2 linked regions of the Cricetulus griseus genome follow. The protein of the gene in region 1 interacts with the protein of each later gene in a pairwise test. Links are inferred from orthologs where the notes say so. Each region holds a gene or a part of one and is shown in the gene's direction. Other genes may lie near its edges.

Region 1 (3,919 bases):
AACTCCCTACAGCTAACCTAATGAGTTGGGTAGACCCTGTTCATTTTTTAAAGCACTAACATGTTATTCTTTTATAAACTATACTTAGGGATTAGGAGAACATACGATAGCACAAAGAAAAAAACCTAACAGTTGCTACTCATAATTCTCACCATCTCTCCAAGGAGCCATTGTTAACATTTTAGTGTGTGTCCTTCCAGATTTTGTTTTGGTTATGTATAAATATGCATGTATAGTTTTAAGAAAACAAAATGGAATCCGGTGTACATGCCATTTTATAATGTAGCTTTCTTTCTTTGGTTATTGTTTGTTTTTTTTTATTTTGAATGACTCAAGCCCTGATTGTATTCTTAACGGAGAAAGGCTTGTGAAGGGAGATGATGGGTCCATGTGCCTGTTTGGCTGACCTTTAGGGATAGGGGCTGGATTCTTCCAAAGACAGCTTGTGTGTATGTGTGTGTGTATGTGGTGAGGCTTTGGGGGATGGGGCAGGAATTGGATCCCTTGGAACTGGGGTTATAAGTAGTTGTGAACCATCCATACAGGTGCTAGGACTAGAATGCTAGTCCTCCGCAGGAGCAGGGGCTACATACATGTGCTCTTAAAGAAGCACTGAGCGTCTCTCCAACCCTGACAATTGTTTGGGGGGGGTTTTGTTTTGTTTTGAGACAGGGTCTCTTCCCAAACCTGAAGCTTGTGAATTTGGATAGGTTGGGTAGCCAGCAAGCCCCAGCAATTCTTTTGTCTTTGTCCTGCCCCTGGTGCTGGAGTTACAGACACAGGCTGCCAAGCCTACCTTTTTATGTGGTTCTGGGACTCCAGGCTCAGGTCTTCATGCTTGGGCAACAGTAATTGTCCCTACTGAGCCATCTTCCCAGAGTCTCGGGTGTTTGTTTGTTTGTTTGTTTGGTTTGGTTTTTCGAGACAGGGTTTCTCTGTGTAGCTTTGGAGCCTATCCTGGCACTCGCTCTGGAGACCAGGCTGGCCTCAGACTCACAGAGATCCGCCTGCCTCTGCCTTCCGAGTGCTGGGATTAAAGGCATGCGCCACCAACGCCCAGCATGTATTTGTTTGTTTTATCCACCTCCCCGAAACTCCTTTTTAGCCCCTGATTAAGCCTTGAAGACAGGAAGGAGAGTATTAGTATGTGATGAGAACCAACTGACTCTTCTTCCTTTCTTCCTCTTGCTCCCTCAGAGCCTGCCCTCACCCTGCTCCCCAGCCCTGCCCATCTCGGCCCCATGCCCCCGCCAGTCAGCTCCGGGGCCCTGGCAGTGAGCAGGCACGTGGCAGCCAAGGCCCTGTGACCAGGCCAGGGAGACAGGAGCTCCGGGGTCCCAGTCATCTGCCCCCCCATGGAGCTGAGGCCCTGGTTGCTATGGGTGGTAGCAGCAGCAGGAGCCTTGGTCCTGCTAGCAGCTGATGCTCGTGGCCAAAAGATCTTCACCAACACTTGGGCTGTGCACATCTCTGGAGGCCCAGCTGTGGCTGACAGCGTGGCACGGAAGCATGGGTTCCACAACCTGGGCCAGGTAGGTTTCTCACCTGGCCTGTTGGTGTAACTTCAGGACATTGCCTCGTGGTGGAGAGGGTGAGGGCATAAGCTTTTGCACCATAAAGTAGAGTGTCTTCCAGGGCATCTGGGCAAGAGGCAGATTCTGGGTGGCTGGGATGGGGTCTGTGGCATTGTCCTGTTAGTGGGCTTTTATCATAGTTGCTTAGAAAAACCAGCACATCTCAATGAGGGTGTCCCCCTCCATCCCCTGCATGTTCTCGTGGGTCTTAAGCAGGGAACAGATGCCCCATCACCACTTGTCTTTGTGAGCCTCCCCAGCAGCCTTGTCCACCCCCTTCTCTGCCTCCCCCAGGGACTGGCAGATGGAAGGCCCATCTCGGTCTCATTGCTTTATTGCAGATCTTTGGTGACTATTACCACTTCAGGCATAGAGCAGTGACAAAGCGGTCCTTGTCACCTCACCGCCAGCGACACATCCGGCTACAGAGGGAGCCTCAAGTAAGTGTGGCCCTGGCCCTTCCAGCTGCCACTGCTTCTGTTCTGAGCCCCCCTCCCTCCCCCACACACACCTATATCATCTATATCATCCCTAGGTAAAGTGGCTGGAGCAGCAGGTAGCAAAACGGAGGACCAAGCGGGACGTGTATCAGGAGCCCACAGACCCCAAGTTTCCCCAGCAGTGGTACCTGGTATGCTGCCTCCTTGGGTTCTGGTCTTCTTCCCCACCACTGTGAGGTGCTGTGAGTGGATGAGGCTTACTAACTCATTGGTTCTCAACCTTCCTAATGCTGTAGCTCTTTATTTAATACAGTTCCTCGTGTTGTGCTGACCCCCAACCATAACAATATTTTCATTGCTATTTCATAACTGTAATTTCGCTATTGTTATGAATGTAAATATTTCTGGAGATAAGAGGGTTGCCGGGGTGGAGGGGCTGGGGAGGGTGTTCACAACCCACAGCTTGAGAACCACTGTTCTAGCCCATCCTGCCTTCCCAGAAGCTATGCATTTCCAGTGGAAACAAGGAGTGGCAATGGGTGGTGATAGAGGGTTTGGGTGGAATGGGTTCTCTGAGTTAGCGACCAAATATCTCTGGTTATGGGCTGGTTGTCTCTGCAGTCTGGTGTCACTCAGCGAGACCTGAATGTGAAGGAAGCCTGGGCCCAGGGCTTCACAGGTCACGGCATTGTGGTCTCCATCCTGGACGACGGCATTGAGAAGAACCATCCCGACTTGGCAGGCAATTATGTGAGGAATGGAGGAGAATGGTGGTGATCCCTCGGTGGGCAGTGTGGTGAGGCAGCTTCTGATGATGGCCCTGTCCTTACAGGATCCTGGAGCCAGTTTTGATGTCAATGACCAGGACCCTGACCCTCAGCCTCGGTATACACAGATGAATGACAACAGGTGAGAAATATCACGCTCCCGCCTCTGAGCGTCTTCCCTCTTACCAGTTAAGGACACAAGGGTGAGTCTGATGTCACAAGTCCCACCTAAAAACTGAAGTCTTTCTGGGCATGGTGGCGGCTCCTTTAATCAAACTGGCACTGGGGACGGAGAAGTTGGCAGATCTCTGTGAGTTTGCTCTACATAGTGAGTTCCAGGCCAGCTAAGTTACATAGTGAGACCCTATCTCAAAAAAACACCAAGATGGGCATTGGTGGCGCACGCCTTTAATCCCAGCACTTGGGAGGCAGAGACAGGAGGATCTCTGTGAGTTCCAGGTCAGCCTAGTTCACAGTGAGTCCTGGGACAGCCAGAGCTACACAGAGCAACCCTGTCTCTAAAAAAAGAAAAAACAAAAACAAAAACAAAAAAAACCCCAACCCCCTCAACCCCCCCCCAAGAAAAACCCACAACTGAGTCCCTGTTTATAGTCCTGGTCCCCCAAGGGAGTTTTGTTTTTGTTTTGGGGGACATGGTTTCCATATGTAGCCCTGGCTGTTCTGGAACTTGCTCTGTAGACCAGGCTGGCCTCAAACTCAGAGATCCACTGCACCAGGATCCAAGGGAGGTTATGATCATCGCAAAGAGGATGGTGGCCCCACAGGGAAGAGTGACTGATGTGACTCAGGGTTACCTGCTGTACTCTGTCCACACCCACTAATGCCGTATTCTTGATCTCGGCAGGCACGGCACTCGGTGTGCGGGTGAGGTGGCAGCAGTAGCCAACAATGGTGTCTGTGGTGTAGGTGTAGCTTACAACGCCCGAATTGGAGGTGGGTATGAGCCTTGGCCCTGGGTCCAACATTGAAGGTGGGGGGACCTCTCATGGACGTTCTCTCTGTCTACCCCCCACCTTCCACGATGGAGCTTTTGGCAGCATGCTGGTCCTTAGCAAATGGAAAAGCTGGACTCCCATGCTGGTAGCATGGTGGAGTGGGATAGGAGCCTCTCAGCAGA
Region 2 (3,919 bases), on another chromosome or scaffold:
TCATTTAAACATCCCACATACTCCTCCAATCTCTTTCAAATTCATGCCCTTTTCTTTCATTGTTATTGCCAACTTCTAAGATCCAGTTCTTAGGGAGAAATATATTCCTTTCAAAATAACTGCTACCCCAAGACAATACACCTCTTCACTCAACAGGCCAGACATATTATTAAACAACATTAAGCAATAATATAAATAGTATTTTAATGCCTGTTATTAGAGGATGAAACCAAGGCACAATTTTATTTTCAAGTCTTATTAAGAAATATATGTCTTGAGCCACAGCTAATATAGATACTGATTCCATTTATGGATTGCAAAAAAGTACATTGAAAATCTTCCTGTAAATTATCCATTGCTTTAGGTACCCTGAAGGACATTTATGATTATGGAAGAGCAAAAAAATCTCAACATAAATGGGCATTTTTAAAAAGTTGATTTCAAAATGACCAAAATCATACATGTACCCCAGCCTTCCATTGTGCTAGAACTACAAGGATATAAGATTTCTGCAATGCATTCACATCATAAGAGAATAAATTTCACTGTAAAATGTTGATTGCAACCATTAGGGGGGACTTAAGGGCTTTGATGGAAGAAACATTGATGGAAGAAACCATGCAGATGGTAGTGGAGGTAATAAGAGAACTAAAGTGAGAAAAGGAGCCTGAGATATAACTGAATTGTTACAGCCTCATGTGAAAGACAGATTTACTGAGATGATGGGAACATTCCTGAAGTGACAACAGAGAATTTGGAGAATGCCTGAACTTAGTTGATAAAGCAATGGTAGAACTGATTGACTACATTTTTAAAAGATGTTATATTATGGTTAAAATAATGTCCAACATTGGGGAATGCTACAGAGAAATGTTATGTAAAAGAAAGTAAAATGATACAACAGATGTTATTCCAGATGTGTTTTAAGAAATAATCACAGCCACTCAACTTTCAGCAATCATGTCTCTCAAGAAATGGGGGTATCTGATGGGGAATGTACTGTGTATATTTATCTGATTGATTGTTAAATAAAGTTCTGTTTGGCCAATGGCAGCAAGTTAGACAGGACTGGGAGTCAAAGAGGATTCTGGGACATGTAGTAGATAAGTGGTGATCCAGGCAGGAAGTGACATAGCAAGGAGACTCATATCTAAGTGAGGAAATAGGAAGTGAACCCTTTTTCCTCTTCCTCCTCCAGCAGTGCAATATGATCCACCGGCAAGGAGGGACTCCAATAAGGCATCTGATAAGATAAGTCTTATAAAGTAGATATGTATGATAATTAAGACTGAGCTAACAGATGAGAATCCTAGTCATTGGCCAAGCAGCATTGTACCTAATATGTCTCTGTATTATTTTGTTCCTTCCACACGGCAACAGAACTCAGGTGGCTGGCAGAGACCGCACACATGGCGGTAGGGCTCAGGCGGCTTTTGGCAGAAAGATTTATCTTAACAGGTATCCTTATGGAGATACCCGCCCCACACACACACACACTCCATGAAGGCTAAAATGGTCGCATGCACTTTTCATGGCTGCAGTATTTCCTAATTAAGATCTATGTATTGCTATTTTGTAAATAATGTTATTCTACATTAGATGGGCTGTAGTATCACATAAACACATTTTTATATGTTCCAGGAAAAAAAACAGTTCATGTGATCCATTTTATTACTTTGTTTACTTTATTGTGATAATCTGGAACAAATCTGCATTTCTAAGATGCACCTTGATGAAATCAGTGTTCAGTTCTGTGAAATTGCTAAAGAGGAAGAAGAATTTATATATACACACATTTAAAAATACTGTGAGGAGTCATGGTCTCAAGAGTGTATATTAACGTCAACACTTGCTTGAGAGGTCATGGTTTTTATTTTATTGGAAATGTTGGAGACCTGGATGAACAAAATTTCTCAGTACAAGACATTTTCACATTTTTTTTCTAAGCATTTATTCATGTTCAAGGCAGGCTGAATCACTCATAATATACTGCTTCCTGAAAAAAAAAAAAAAACTGAACACTTTGTAAACAAGAAGGGAAATCAAAGATGTCAAGAAATAACTACTGTCATGTCAGTATCAAACCACATGATTAAGAGGCTCTATAGGATATGCTTGAATGTGTGTGTGTGTGTGTGTGTGTGTGTGTGTGTGTGTGTGTGTGTGTGTGTGTGTGTATTTCTTTTTATTTAAAGAACCCTGATGAAACCAAATTGGGGGGGTCTTTTTTTTTAAGAGATTTTTGTTGTTGCTTTGCCTGGCCTTTTTTTTAAAATCACTTTTTTTTAAAACAATCTTTTCTCATTTTACATACCAATCCCAGTTTCCATCCCCCCTCCTCCTTATCCCCCCTCTTTTCCCCACCCCACCCCCTATCCACACCTCATAGTGAATGAGGCTTCCTATGGGGAGTCAAGGAACTCTAGCACCTTACTTTGAGGCAGGATCAAGGCCCTCCCCACTATACTAGGCTAAGCAATGTATCCCTCCATAGGGAATGGGCTCCAAAAAGCCAGTTCAAGCACTAGGGATAAATCATGGTTCCACTGCCAGTGGCCCTACACACTGCCCAAGCCACACTACTGTCACCCACATTCAGAGGGCTAGTTTGGTCATATGCAGGTTTCCCTGCTCTCAGTCCAGAGTCATCAGTTAAGAGGATGTACTACTCTTGCAGAGTATCCAGTGTGGTTCTGGTATCCACCTTAGGCAGTTCAAGTCTAACTCCATCTCTAGGAGACTTGATACCTTCTTCTGGTCTTCACAGGAACCTGCACTCACATGCACATTCCCTCACAAAAACACATACTATCACAGTATAACATAGCTAAATATATAGAGATAAATAGGTTGTATGATTTTAGGGTTTTCTGAATTTGCTTTGAGTTAAATTTAAAAATTACTTAAGAAAAATCAGCCACTTTGAAGAAAGGCTAAGTACTCTTATAAAAATTGGAAAACACTTTTAAATTGCCAAAGTTGGTGTAATTTTTCAGCTAAATTGTTCTGTAAAAATTCCTATTTTGAGTTTATAATATGCATCTATGTAGTAATTTGGGACCATTAAGCCAGTTTTATTCATTTGTTCTTAACTTTCATATAGCAACTGTTGTTTTACATGTGTGGATAATTCAATAGTCAACAGAGAGAGTTCCCAGATAGCCAGAGCTACACAGAGATACCCTGTCTTAAAAAATAAAAACAATCAATGGTTTTAAAATTTCTTGACTGTCCCTTAAAATATGTCACACGAATCAGTAGTTCATTGCTTCCAATATAGTTTTCAACATTTTTTTTTTTCTGACAGAGATGATAGGCTACACACGCACGCACGCACATCCTCCTTTTAATACTTTTAAAATAATGACTTGACTGAAACCCACAATTGTTTCATGTTTTGTTTTTAGCAGATTTTAGGCTTCTTTCTCTGTTAGCTAAAGTGATACTTTGCATTTAAGGACAGCTCAAGAACATAGAGAAGCACAAACATGTGGATGCTCATTTGCCATGGCACATGTTTGGTGGCTAGAGGGTTGATGGTCCTTGCCTTTCACATTTTTTAAGATAGGGTCATGGTGTTGCTGTGAAGACTGGGTACTTGACTTTCAAGAACCTTGGGATTCTCCTGTCTCTGCCCCTACGACATGACTCTCTGCTTCTATGGCCATAGGAGCATCTGGGTTCATACTGCCCACTGGCCAAGCTATACATGGGTATGGGGATCCAGGCTCTAGTTCTCATGCACAGCAAATGCTTCCCACTCAGAACCATCTTCTTACCATCCCTAAATCACTTTTTTGTGGTGTTAGGAATCAAATTTAGGGTTTGTTTCACAAATGCACTAATATTGAGGCATAGCCTCAGTTCCAAGAAACACTTTTTGAGGAGCATTATTTAAAATATATAATTTAATAGGAAA

What was found.
Region 2: the proteins of Furin (region 1) and Marchf1 interact in a protein complementation assay, tested with the Homo sapiens proteins (2 studies listed by BioGRID). The link is inferred for Cricetulus griseus from reciprocal best matches to the Homo sapiens genes FURIN and MARCHF1.

Annotation. Positions count from the first base shown.
Region 1 is NC_048596.1:117,205,456-117,209,374, forward strand, and holds the start of Furin (furin precursor), read left to right. Parts: upstream 1-1,322; 5' UTR 1,323-1,355; coding exon 1,356-1,532; intron 1,533-1,915; coding exon 1,916-2,014; intron 2,015-2,109; coding exon 2,110-2,205; intron 2,206-2,635; coding exon 2,636-2,764; intron 2,765-2,846; coding exon 2,847-2,923; intron 2,924-3,646; coding exon 3,647-3,735; intron 3,736-3,919. UniProt on the Homo sapiens protein: Ubiquitous endoprotease within constitutive secretory pathways capable of cleavage at the RX(K/R)R consensus motif. Mediates processing of TGFB1, an essential step in TGF-beta-1 activation.
Region 2 is NW_023276806.1:242,872,422-242,876,340, forward strand, and holds the start of Marchf1 (E3 ubiquitin-protein ligase MARCHF1), read left to right. Parts: upstream 1-1,390; 5' UTR 1,391-3,919. UniProt on the Homo sapiens protein: E3 ubiquitin-protein ligase that mediates ubiquitination of TFRC, CD86, FAS and MHC class II proteins, such as HLA-DR alpha and beta, and promotes their subsequent endocytosis and sorting to lysosomes via multivesicular bodies.